Arabidopsis thaliana: one gene and its partners. The protein of the gene in region 1 binds, or shares a complex with, the protein of each later gene. Each region holds a gene or a part of one and is shown in the gene's direction. Other genes may lie near its edges.

Region 1 (4,628 bases):
AGACGATGACCCTGTCATGGTAATTAAATTATCTCTCTCTACTTACTCTTCCATGGATTCTTTGGTTCATATTCACCTTGTGATGATCCTTTTCCCCTTAGTCAACGCGCATGGATCATCACAAGGTGGTATAACAATTCAGGAATTGATTTTCTCTTTGCGTCTTTTGTTTGTTTTGTGTTTTTGCATGCGCCTAAAAAGAATATTTCATTCCATTTCTTTCTTAACTCAGAGACATAATTGAACCATGAATGTTATTCAACTTAATTATGAGTTAATACATGCATCATAGTATCAGGTCTCATTTATGAATATGTAATGATAGTGTATCTTTAAATTTGATGTTATAGTGTATTGGCTTGCAGTTTGTTTCCATGGTTTTGAAATGATGTGTTTTGTTCGAACAATGAATTTATAGTTCGTTTCCATTTTCCCATTTTCTACTTTCTTTTTATTTGTTAGGAAAACTTTGTTTTTTTTTTTGCATTTTTTCCATAACATTTCAATAAGCAACCATATTTTAACATTATATTCCCACCTAAGCTAAATTTCATTACTTCTATTGTTAGATAAAAATATAATTAAACCAACTAAAAGTCTGAATCATATTATAATCTTTGCATTATGTTTTAACTATATGTTGGGAGTTACATAAATTTGTTTTGCTTGGAGCCTCCAAACTTTGAAGAGGCAAACATGAACGAAATGTACACTGCTTTTCTAGAGCGAATATGAAAACTCCATCTCTAGTTTGTATAACAGTCGAAATCACCTTGTTATACGAAGCATTATGCAATATGTGAAATGTATTAAGAGGAAGCATGTTGTCACCGTCATAAGTCTCTCTAACATTACTAATTTAATTACCATGCAGAAGAAGAAGAGGATCTTGACCTACATTAATTGTTGTATAAGGCCAAACTAGGGCTTTGTTCTTCTACAAAGTCGGAATCTTTCTCTCTTCAGCGATATAGCAAATATGTCTCAAGTGTGTAAAGACAGTAGTGTAACGTTTCTGTAATCTTCTTTATCACACACAAAAAAAAAAAACGTTCTGTTCTATGTGCATCATCTATTAAGATACCCCTGGTTGTGTTGTGTTGTGATACATTTTGACTTCTTCCTACATCATACGAGAACAAAATAAAACATGACTTAACCAAACCGTCAGATGCAGAATCCATTTAACTAATCTTCGATAAATTGAGAATTGTCGGATGATCATAGTTTTAGAAACAAGAGTTAAGAAATCATGCATTGATTGCTGGTACGATTTGGCCATTTGGGTGATTTTAGCTTTGGTTAATCATTCTCCAACTTCAATATAAAGGATCCGAACAATAGCAATGACTAAACGAATCACTTTTTGGCCTTAGCAAATTGGTCTTAATTATTTGGCCACAAATACACATACATATGACCATATGAAAAACAGTGGCTATCTTGCAACTGAGTGCCACCACCTAATCGTGGCCATATCCACTAACAAGTTGACCACCGTCTTAATCGGTGGCTATTGACGATTGCAACAAAAATTATTTGACGGCTATATTAGCATTTTTTTTTTTTTTTAACTATGTGATTAAAAATGCAAATTATAAGAAAATTGAAATTTTTATTAAAATAAAAATACAAATGTAAAAAAAGTCGTTGTGAAATCTGTAAAGTTGATCATACGCACTATGAAGCGCGTGAACCCCACGCGGTAACCCGTATAAATAACAAAATTTTGGACGAAAAAAAAACAGAAGAAGAAGAAAAAGAAATCGCGATTTTATAACGCCATTGTTTGAGGAAACTCCTAATCCATTCTCAAACCCTAGTTACTTCCTTCTCGAACGTTCCTCGATATTCCCGCGGGAAATTCACGACCAAGAGCAATCCGTTTTCCAGATTAGGGTTTATATCTCTGGGTTGCGATGAGATCTGCCTCGTGAAGTCATGTATGGCGGTGATTGATCTTTGCTTCAGCTTTGTTTTCGCTTTTCGTCAAATCTTGAGCTTATTGAGCTTTGGCTTGTTTGGTTTTCAAATTCCAATAATTGCAGTTTAATCAACAACAACAAAAAAATATGGAATCAGAGAGCGTTAAGTTTGGAGGTAAATTTGGTTTCCAAGCTTTGATTTTTGTCAAGTTTTATTATTTTGGGATTTGAGGGTCAATGAGCTTCTGGGTTTCTAAGTGCAGGTCCTAGAGAATTGGGTGGTGCACTAGATCTTATAACACAATACAAGTTGTTGCCACACCATGAATTCTTTTGCAAGAGATCACTTCCAGAGTCACTGTCAGATGCTCATTATCTTCATAATTTGGTTGGAGACACAGAGATTAGAAAAGGAGAAGGAATGCAATTAGATCAGCTTATTCCTAATGCATCACTTAGTAGCCGAGATACGAATGCTCGCATCCAACCTTTTGTTCTTGATGAACTTAAGGAGGCTTTTGAGCTTAATGATACAGCTCCTGTTGAATTGCCTCCAGTAAGAATATTGCTCTCTCTGTTTAGATTTTAACTTCCTGTAACATCTAGATCTTTTACTAACCATGATAAGTTGAATTACTTCCAAGTATCTTGTGATGATAGTTGAGCTAGGTTTGAGAATATGAGATCTCCTGTTCTTATTTCAGGCAGAGAAGGGAGCTCCTACCACTGTATCAAAATCAAAAAGTGAGTCAAAAGATAAGGATAGGAAACATAGAAAACATAAAGACAAGAAGGAGAAAGATAGGGAACATAAGAAGCACAAGCACAAGCATAAAGATAGGATCAAAGATAAGGATAAAGACAAGGATCGAGACAAAAAGAAGGAAAAAAGTGGACACCATGATAAGGTTATAAAACTGTCTGCTCTTGTTGGTACCTAGGCCGTCTATATATGTATATTTTGGATTCTTAAATTCGATAGAATTGACGTGGTATACGCTATCACTTTACTTTCAGAAAAGGAAGAACAATGGGACTGAAGATGCTGATGACGTTCAGAGGCACAAAAAGAGTAAGGTAATATACTAATGGCAATGGAGGCATCTCCTTCTTTTTAGTGAAGCTGAATTTAGAAGTTTCTGGTTACTCGCACATTGGTGTTGCTCTGCAAATTTTATTTTTGTCGGCCCTAAAATTAACTTTTTTGCAGCATAAGAGCTCAAAGCTTGATGAGATGGGAGCGATGTAGGTTGGAGGCTGAAGCCGTGCACACTTTCATTTTTGTATTGCACACCCAAGGTGTCATGGAGAGGCTTAGAAGCAGCTAACTTTGTTAGGTAACTCGGTCACTAGAGTCATCTTCTCATCTTTAGATAACGCACGTTTCTCATATGGGGCTGCGTCTGTCATAACCAACGGTACTGTACATGATGAATATGATTGAGTCAACAAAGCTATGGTTGTTTTAAACATGAAGAAATAATTATTGTCTAAGGCTTATAAGAAGATAACCTGGAACTCTAGCGACCGAGAGTGCACTAACTTTATTTTGGAGTCTCAAATAATTAGAAATGTTTCTATATGGTGTAGATTTGTCTCAACATAACATAAAATGATTTGGATTTGGTTTTGCAGGTTTAATCTCTAAATAAAAATTGCATTGTGGGAGAAGTTAGGAGGGGTTAAGCAACGAAAAGTTCGCCAAGAAGAATCACAACTTGTACATTTTGTTACACTTTAAACAAGCTATGAAGTTTATCTATTCTCGTGACTATTTAAACAGAAAGGTTTCATACATTCGAAATCATTTACTCTGAAATTTATCGAATCTGAAGGCATGTGACTTTTTGGGTGTATTCGTCTCTATGGAAATACCAAAAACAAAATTTAGATCTTTCAGGAAAGTGTTTTATCTCGAACAAAAGAGTAAATAATGAGAAGAACAAAAAAAGACATATGTAATATAACCAACGGAACAGAGAGAAGGGTCAGTGGCTGACAAAGTGTTTCAAGACTTCATGTATATGTAATGAATAGCAAAAGATCAAACTCTATCAGTAAAAGATACTAACGGAAAATCTCAAACTCTTAATCAACAAAACCCTTAGTGGGAAACTTTCCAATCCTTCACACTCTTCTCTCCTACCAAACGAATGACTAAGTAATGCTGCTTTTCATTTTAAAAAAGCGTTCCAAGATGTGACCTCATTTGCTTATCCTTCCTTTTCATTTTCTAGCAAAGGTCTCTCCTTTGTGCTCACTCCCGGCACAAACAACATACCCTGCTTCCACCTATAAAACCAATTGATGTTTTGATTATGGAATCTGTAAAAGCATTGATACGTAGGGGACACTGTATTATGAAAACTGAAGGGGGTAACGTACTTGGCAGTCTCTTAGAGTAACACGCTCTTGAAGCTGTGCGTTGCTGCAAATGACTGAGCCTTGTATTGAACATCCGTCTCCAATTGTGGCATGGTCCATCACAACTGAATTAACAATCTGCACCCACATATACAAGCAGTTGAGTGTCTTTTCGAGATGTACACCACCTTTCTTTGGCTGGCTTGAGTAAAAAGCTAATTATTACCTTCACATTGGAGCCTATCCGGCAATGTCTCCCAATTACAGATCTTTTGACACTGCATTTATCACCGACTTGAGAGCCTTCTCCAAGCATACAATGAGGTCCAACCTGCAACC
Region 2 (3,453 bases), on another chromosome or scaffold:
AATCTTAGGTTCATTTAGTTAGTGTTTTCTTGTAGCTCAAGAATCTTTTTTAGGTGATAATTCTTATCTATAACTTTGTGATATATCCGGGTTTTTTTTTTTTGGCAGGTTGGATGTTGGAGGAGGGATAGATTTGGATCTTAACGAATGTCCGAGGTCAAAGCTTAAGCAGCAATGCATTAGATATCTTGGACCTGTATGTGCCATTTTTTCCTCTCTTATGTCAATATTGGTTTTACTTGTTTTTGGGATTTCTCTCATATAAGCCTTTTCTGGTATCAGCAAGAGAGGGAAGAGTATGAGTATGTGATCATAGAAGGGAAGATTGTTCACAAGTTAACTGGAAAGTTCTTACACACAATGCATGGATCGGAAGGAACAAAATGGATCTTTGTTATGAGTACTTTCAAGAAACTCTATGCCGGTCTGGTAAGTTAAAACCGTTATATCTTTCTATTGGTGATGAATTGATATTAGTATTGAAAAAGATTCTAATGGTTCTTTTCTTTGTTTATGTTTACTTCAGAAAAAGAAAGGAAGGTTCCATCACTCAAGCTTTTTGGCTGGAGGAGCTACATTAGCTGCTGGGAGGGTGATTGTTGACAATGGAGTTCTCAAGGTAACTTACTAAGGCCACGTCCTTTTCTTAGAGTGGTTGAGATACATGTTCATTCATATCAACTTTTTTATTATGTCTGCCTTCTGTGATTTCTCTGTTTGATCGTTCTGTTTTCGGTTTAATCTCAGACAATCTCTGCATATAGCGGACATTACAGGCCGTCAGACGATAGTCTCGACACATTTCTCGGGTTTCTCAGAGAGAACGCAGTGAACCTAGACAATGTTGAGGTAATGCCCTTGTTCTAATCTTGGCTGGTGAATGATATCATTAACTAGAGTTTGGTTGTTTAGAAAAAGAGACTACTTGAGAGCTAATATATCTATGTATGTGTAGGTGCATAAAGCTAGTGAAGATTCTGACAGCTACGATGATTATGTTAAATCCAACGGAGGATCTGAACCGGAACCGTTAAAGAAAGAGGACACAACATTCCAAGCAGAGACTGAAACAGATGAGAACGGTAACGGAACAGTGGGAACACTTGAGGAGGCAAAACGGAGTAGCTACCAGAGAACACTCTCAGGTGGACTTGGGAGTCCAAAAGCTAACGTGCCGCAGAAATCTATGCTACTAAGGATAAACTCAAAGAAACAGTCAAGATCATTACAATTGGGACATCAGTTGTCACTGAAATGGTCGACAGGAGTTGGTCCAAGAATCGGTTGTGCAGCTGATTATCCGGTTCAGCTCAGAACACAGGCTTTGGAGTTTGTTAACTTGTCTCCTAAATACCGGAGTAGCAGACTTTCTCCGACCGGGAAGCTTGATGTCTGATCATATGTTCCGTACTTCCTTATGTAGTAGTAAATGAGAATCTTTCTTCTGTAACTAATGTGTGAGTTCTCTATCTAAGGTTTTTGTTGTCATCTTTTCACATGGATGATTGTGAATCAGAAGGAAGAGAATGAGAGATGTGTTAAAAGCTATTTTCACTGATAATGAAGAGAATGGTTACAGTATTTAGTCAATCGCTTACTCATTTTACAAATTTCATTAGAAAATCCATAGCTAAAAAATCTTTAAGTAAGGATGTAACTTATCTAATTTGATGGAGATAAAAAGTTACATAAGGAATCAAAATTTGTTACAAAAGCCATCATCTGTTATATCTTGTGACATCAAATCAAGAGTAAAGTATCAGAAAATGTTGTTCCTTCTCCTTACTATTGTTTTTTCATATGAAATAAATGATTTACTTCATATATTTATTAAAAATGAATTTTCAGTGTTTTCAATTAATTACATCAAAATGATATTCTTAAGAACAATTAAGAATGTGGAAAAGGCCCAATAAGCCCAAATTAAATCCAGTAAATGGGCCCCCATTATAATATTTTTCACTAAACCTTATGGGCAAACAAACAAGCAGAGAGAAAGAGAGATCGAGATCGGCGTGAATGGATTATCAGCAAAAGCCGCCGCAGTCTTCTGACCCTTCGCCGTCACCGCCTGACCGTCCACCGGGAATCAGATCACCGGAGACCCCCTCGAACAATCAGAATAATGACATAGAGGACATTATGGCTTGCGTCACAGCCTTGGAAGCTGCTCTGTTACCATGTTTGCCGGCGAGAGAGCTTCAGGCCATCGATCGCTCTCCTCACCCTTCTCATCAAAGTCAGTCCCTTTTCTACTCTCCAATTTCACCATTCTAGGGTTTTAGTTTGAATGATAGTTTGGAAGTTGTGTTTGTTTTTGTGCTTAACTTATGATCTCAGTGAATTTTGTGCTTAGAATTCAGTTGAAACCGAAGCTTTGATTCCATATTCGATGTTCTAGCTTAATTCCCCTCATTGAACTGCTGCAGTTGATGTGGAGCGGCACGCCAGAGATTTCATGGAAGCTGCGAAAAAGCTTCAGCTTTACTTCATGGGACTAAAGCGAGAAGATCGCGCGCCCTCGAGAGCTGAAAGCCTTAAGAAGGTGTGGTTTGATTTACCAATGTGAAAACTCCAAACACATATTGTCTTACCAGTTTCTGCTCTCTTCTGTTCTGTTCTTAACAGGATATTGCAGTAATGGAGGAAGAGCTTAAGACAAAAGATGAGCTTATAAAGAAGCACATGAGGCTTTTCCAAGAGTCGCAGAAGCTTGTGAAAGAACAGATTGAGAAACACAGAGATGAGCTGGAGAAAGTTTAACAATCTCTCAATCAAAGTTTATTGTTTTTCTTCTTATGGATCTTAAGTTAGTTTCAACAGTAAATAATGTAACACTCATTATTCATCCAGTTATGTCTATTTTACATTGTAAGAGTAATATGCAGACAAAAAGGAGATTCCATCTGCAAATCCACATTTCTTACAAATAGTGCAGGTACACTTATTTCTGTTTGTGGCTTTTTTCTTTTCTCTAGAGTTGTATCAAGTCCATTGATTCATTTACATGGAAACTTAAAGCTACTCATAGAAAGAGAGAGAGTCTCTTGGCTTGTGTTGATAACTTCACTCATATATCCATATGGTGACCACTTGTGTTGGGTGGTTGACTTTCCAATGGCATGTACTGTGCCATGATCCCTCTAATTTCCGCATCCATGTAACTCTGCATAATTTCAATTGTTACTTAGCATCTCTATCTAGACCGCAAAATCTTCCTATGTTTTAATATGATAACAAGACCAGAGTAAAGAACATCGTATACCCTGATTCTGTATTTGTAGACTGCATATCCAGAAAGACCTGCAACACCCACCCCGATTATAAGGATCCACAAAAAGCTCCAGCTGAGTTTTGTGGTTCCAACTTTGCCTGAACCTACACATTCACCAGATTCAAAAGCAGAAAGTCTGATTAATGACTCCAAATTAAGTATGGGGCTAGGAGGAAGGA
Region 3 (5,080 bases), on another chromosome or scaffold:
TTATTTGTGCTTGATATTACTTCAGGATGCTGGAGTTACAGTTCTTGGTACTGTTCCAAGCTTGGTGAAAACTTGGAAGAGAACAAACTGTATGGAAGGGCTTAATTGGACAAAGATTAAGTAAGGAGCAACAAACCTTGTTTTGTTTTCGGGTTTATACGAGAAATTTTAACTTAGAAGCTGTTGTGTTTTGTTAGGTTTTTCGCCACTACAGGAGAAGCTTCCAATGTTGACGATGTTCTCTGGCTTTCTTCTAAAGCTGATTACAAACCTGTGATCGAATGCTGTGGAGGCACGGAACTTGCTTCGTCATACATCATAGGAAGCCCTCTTCAACCGCAGGCTTTTGGAGCGTTTAGCACACCATCCATGACAACTAGAATCATCATCTTCGATGAAAATGGCGTCCCATATGTGACAAACTGAAACTTTAGACATTTGGAGTATTTTCTTAGAATATCCAGAGATTGATGTAGACTGGTTTTTGCAGCCGGATGATCAACCATGTACTGGAGAAGTCGGTTTGTTCCCCCAGCACCTTGGGGCCACGGATAGACTTCTGAATGCAAATCACGACGAGGTTTACTTCAAGGGAATGCCCATGTATAAGGAAACAGTGAGTAGTTTTAGAACTTCTATATTTACATCTAAACAAAATTGCAAACTTACGTCAGTTAAACGATTCCTCTGTTCTGTTGCGTTCTGCAGCGACTTAGAAGACACGGTGACATTGTGAAGCGAACTGTTGGAGGATATTACAATGTTCAAGGTAGAGCTGATGATACCATGAACCTTGGAGGCATTAAGGTACTACATACATTGTATGTCTATATACCCAACTTCGATTAGAGTTGGAACTTTTCTCAAGTTTTCATCTTTTGTTTATCTGTTATAACGCAGACGAGTTCTATTGAGATCGAACGTGTGTGTGATCAAGCTGATGAGTGCATCTCTGAGACAGCTGCAGTCACCTTAACACCACCTAACGGTGGTCCAGAGTTGCTGGTCATATTCGCAGTCTTGAAAGAAGGGTTCAAGCAACAGAGTGGAGAAGAGCTAAAGATGAAATTTTCAAGAACCATTCAAAAAGATCTTAATCCTCTCTTCAAGGTAATCAATATCTTTGATGAGTTTTTCTATAAATTCAAAGTTATTATAAGATTTTTTGTGTGCTTAAAAATGGATTTTGCAAAAATATTGCAGGTGAGTTTTGTGAAGATTGTGCCGGAGTTTCCAAGAACAGCTTCTAGCAAGCTACTGAGAAGAGTCTTGAGAGATCAGATTAAGCAAGAACTACTATCCTTACGAAGTCGAATATAAAGCCTTGATCTTAAGTTTAACTAGAATAAAATAAGATCTGCTGAGTAGTAGTTGATCTACACATGATTGGGTACTGCTCGGTCCAAATAAGAAAACCGATTAAATCAAATCTACCGGTCCTTGAATTCTCTAGCCTGATTCACATTTACATGACTAAACACTTTGACTTTGTTATGTTTGTGTTTGTGTTTGGTGTATATATTTCATATCAGATTATAATCTTAATTTTCCTCAAGATTATCTTTTGTTTAAATTTGTAAAAATATTTCGGACGATACTCATACATCCCATAAGGCTTTGAGACATCTGAATAGTATCACCACGAATGACCTATGGAACCAGAAGACAACTAGCCGCACCCAACGATACAAAGATAGCGTTAAGATCATTCGAGGTCTAGCTATATCGTGGTATACAAAATCTAGAAAATATAAAGTAAAACCATAGCATTGTTTGGTTCATTTGATTGATGCAAGTCAAACAAACTCGAAAGAATGAGATCTTAATACCAAAACTTCAAAAACACTTGATATTAAACACCTTATTTGGAGGAAACTCTTTTATGATGCTTGTGGTTGGCGGTTTTTTTTTTTGAACCAGAGTGTTGTGAAAATAATGAATTGGGCCTGACTAAAACAAATTGGGCCACAGAAAAAAAAAGAATTAGTAAGAGCAACAAAAAAAAAAGAACCCTAAAGAGCGCGTTTGGATCTGGTTTTATGAAAACCACGAGAGATTTCGTGTTGAGATGATTATGATGTATTGAAGAGTTTTGATCAAAAGAGAGATATAAACCTCGCAACATCAAGAGAAGATCGAGCTAGAAATTGACAACGTCTTCCAATTCCGAGCGCTTCAAGACGATGATTTTGGGGTTATAGCCTATAATTTGAAGAAAAAAAAGGATTGAACTTGTTGTATCTATCCCCAAGTGATGTGGACTAATGTTTTCAGAATTGTAAGTCTTATTCTATCATCTTTTTCCCATTGTGTGTGAAAATTGACTTATTGGTAATACATGATGATTTTTCTTCTACAGGGTGGTCTACATAATGTTTCTTGGTTTCAGTTTCTTCCAAGTGAAACTGAGCTGAATCCTGGCTTTGATAGAAGGTTAAAGCTTTAAGCTTTTTCAATGGGTTGTTTTAGTTTTTCCTTATTGACATTGTACTAATTAGTCTGGTCACTCTGGAGTTTTTTTTTCAGTTCAAGAGCTGAGCAGAATGAAGTTGCAACATATCTTGTACTTTCCTCTCATCTACGGTTGCAGAAGGAAGGGTTTCTTACCACTTGGACCAATTCTTTTGTTGGACCTTGGGATCCATCTCAAGGTTTATACAACCCTGGTAATGCTAAATCTCAATCTGGTACTTTTAAATTTTGTAACTTTATTTACAGTTGTATCTAACCATCATTCCTCGCTGCTGCTCAGATGAAAAGATTAAGCTTTGGCTTTTTCTACCTGGGCGTCATTCATCAATATCTGATAAAGCTCAGGCTGCTGTGTCAAAGCTTAGAGGTATATTCTCCTTATGATTTATTTTCTTCATCGTATTTTGTCGCCTCAATAGATTCAAACATATTGTCTCTATTCTGATTATGACTGTTTAGTGAACATGCCTGTGGTCTATGGTTATCTTGGTATACTTGTCCTTACTTTTCTTTTTCTCCTGTTGAAAGTTGTTGCGTCAGGAATTTGGGTAGCACCTGGGGACTCTGAAGAGATATCAGTTGCCTTTTCACAGTCTTTACGTAATTGCATCGAAAGGTTAGTTTTTTATTATCTGCAGACATAATGGTTGGATTAAGGAAATAATGGATTAGAGTATCATATTAACTTGTTTGATATCGCCACAGAGCATTATCTGGAATTTCCTACATGAGATTTGGAGATGTGTTTTCAAAATTCAGCCCTCAAAGCGAAGAATATTTGAGGTATCTGCAACCTCTTACCAATATAAGCGAGACCATGCGTTATAATCTCTGATGGTTTATTAGCAAATATATCGTCTTTTTTCTCTATGGCTTTTCGATTATGTATTATCCTATAGCTTTCATTAAATAGGGTCTGTGAGACCTAGGTTTCCTGAGTGTAATTCTTAGAATCCAAAGAATTCTATGATTAGGTCTGTGGCTCGCTAATGCTCTGTGGCTCGCTAATGCTCTGTGGATATTTATGTAGGAGGGGACAGCCTACTGTTGAATTCATCTTTGCTGCTACCGAAGAGGCAGTTTTTGTCCATGTCATTATATCTGCCAAGTCCGTAAAGCTTTTTGTTATACTGTTTCAGTTATGGTTTAGTGCTTCACATAGTTATTGAAACTAACTATAATATTTTATGCACGAAGGAATGTCCGCACACTTTCAAGTGGCGATGCTGAAAGAATGTTAAGGAGTTCTTTGAAAAACTCCAGTTATAGGCTTCCAGGTTAGTTATTTTTCCATCATCATTTGGATTGATAAATTATCCTACTTGTCTACGATTTTGATGGAACTAGTTCTAGATGTTTGTTGACCTCTTCTTGCTTTGTACTGTTAGAATACTGTATAGATTGAGAGCATTTTGAACTCAATTTTCAATGCATCCACTCCAAAAAGAAACCTAGTGTAGTCTAGTGCTACTGCTACCTAGCTTCATCAAGCAAAGATTTAACACCTCATTTTTTTGCATGTCACAAGAGCTTTTCGTAAATGTTTGGGATTGGCCAAGAGTGAGGATAATAGATTATGCTACATGTAATTCTATGAAGCCAAACTTTTTGAATTGATACCTGAAATGAAATCCGCCTTCTACACATGCTTAAAGAAAGATAAGAGCTTTTTATTTGATAGAAACACTTCTCACAGGCCTATGTTATTCCCACCAGTTATTGTTTCTCCTCATGGAATGCGGGGCAGCCTTACTGGATTCTGTCCCAATGACCTTGTCAAGCAAGTCTACTTCAGGTACATTTCATACCTTTGCTTTCGAATGCCAAGTCAACATTTTTTGTGAGTGCGTAGCCGTTAATCTGATTAATCCAATTTTCTCAACTAATACTTTTTTCTCACACAGTTCTGGAAACTTAAAAACTTCGACTGGATATGTTGGTCTCCCTTCTCATATTGGTCGTGGGTCCCGTCTGATAAATGGCAATCATTGCTACGTGGAAGTTACACTTGGTTGCTGCCAAAATAGAAATGACAACACAAGTCAAGCTAATTCGACCTTTGCAGTTAACTTGCCCCATAACCAGTGTCCTGAACCTTCAGTTGGGAGTAAAGATCACCGTAAAGGACAATCAGATCTTTCATCAGTTTGTGAAAAAAAGTTCATCTATCCAGCTGAGGCAGTGCTTGTACCAATCTTACAGTCGGCATTTGCGAAATTTTCTTTGAAAAGGTAAATTGACTAGGTGAGGTGGTTATTTAGAATTCATTGAGTACTTAACGGTAAGATCCAGATTGGCTATACATAAAATTTATTTCGTTTCTGTTGAATTCCATGTATGTATTAAAACAAATTGACTCTGTGTGATCGTAGTGGAAGTTTTAGTAATTGTTTCAGACCCATGTTAAATAGATGTAATAGTTGTGATCTTTCCTCAGCTTGGAGCTGATGCAAGGTGAAATCATACTTGCAGATTTTGGCTTCAAAACTGGATAGGCCCGTCACTAGCAGGCTCATCTTTGTTTATGCACTGGTGAGTCTTTTTCATCTATCTCGTCGACATTTGAAGATCAAAAGAAATCCACAAAACAGAGGTCTTGAAATGCCCA

Evidence for each region.
Region 2: AT5G19480 (region 1) and AT3G52860 share a complex: the UniProt entries of both Arabidopsis thaliana proteins name them as parts of the mediator complex.
Region 3: AT5G19480 (region 1) and GCT share a complex: the UniProt entries of both Arabidopsis thaliana proteins name them as parts of the mediator complex.

The regions. Positions count from the first base shown.
Region 1 is NC_003076.8:6,569,756-6,574,383, forward strand, and holds AT5G19480 (mediator of RNA polymerase II transcription subunit), read left to right. Parts: upstream 1-1,745; 5' UTR 1,746-2,072; coding exon 2,073-2,100; intron 2,101-2,188; coding exon 2,189-2,481; intron 2,482-2,629; coding exon 2,630-2,833; intron 2,834-2,942; coding exon 2,943-3,002; intron 3,003-3,135; coding exon 3,136-3,174; 3' UTR 3,175-3,868; downstream 3,869-4,628. Other genes in the region: AT5G19473 (RPM1-interacting protein 4 (RIN4) family protein), read left to right, coding at 1-19, 875-925; AT5G19485 (transferases/nucleotidyltransferase), read right to left, coding at 4,152-4,217, 4,311-4,427, 4,516-4,620. UniProt on the Arabidopsis thaliana protein: Component of the Mediator complex, a coactivator involved in the regulated transcription of nearly all RNA polymerase II-dependent genes.
Region 2 is NC_003074.8:19,591,308-19,594,760, reverse strand, and holds AT3G52860 (mediator of RNA polymerase II transcription subunit-like protein), read left to right. Parts: upstream 1-1,992; 5' UTR 1,993-2,019; coding exon 2,020-2,239; exon of another isoform or gene 2,240-2,429; coding exon 2,430-2,545; intron 2,546-2,628; coding exon 2,629-2,763; 3' UTR 2,764-2,913; downstream 2,914-3,453. Other genes in the region: AT3G52870 (IQ calmodulin-binding motif family protein), read left to right, coding at 109-196, 283-429, 527-619, 748-849, 956-1,396; VSR1 (vacuolar sorting receptor homolog 1), read right to left, coding at 3,071-3,166, 3,266-3,378. UniProt on the Arabidopsis thaliana protein: Component of the Mediator complex, a coactivator involved in the regulated transcription of nearly all RNA polymerase II-dependent genes.
Region 3 is NC_003070.9:20,635,340-20,640,419, forward strand, and holds the start of GCT (RNA polymerase II transcription mediator), read left to right. Parts: upstream 1-2,040; 5' UTR 2,041-2,254; coding exon 2,255-2,278; intron 2,279-2,359; coding exon 2,360-2,433; intron 2,434-2,526; coding exon 2,527-2,666; intron 2,667-2,752; coding exon 2,753-2,839; intron 2,840-3,000; coding exon 3,001-3,088; intron 3,089-3,177; coding exon 3,178-3,255; intron 3,256-3,502; coding exon 3,503-3,580; intron 3,581-3,669; coding exon 3,670-3,749; intron 3,750-4,002; coding exon of another isoform or gene 4,003-4,057; intron 4,058-4,153; coding exon of another isoform or gene 4,154-4,188; coding exon 4,189-4,267; intron 4,268-4,376; coding exon 4,377-4,703; intron 4,704-4,944; coding exon 4,945-5,004; intron 5,005-5,080. Other genes in the region: AAE18 (acyl-activating enzyme 18), read left to right, coding at 26-120, 198-414, 491-616, 709-807, 901-1,110, 1,204-1,320. UniProt on the Arabidopsis thaliana protein: Component of the Mediator complex, a coactivator involved in the regulated transcription of nearly all RNA polymerase II-dependent genes.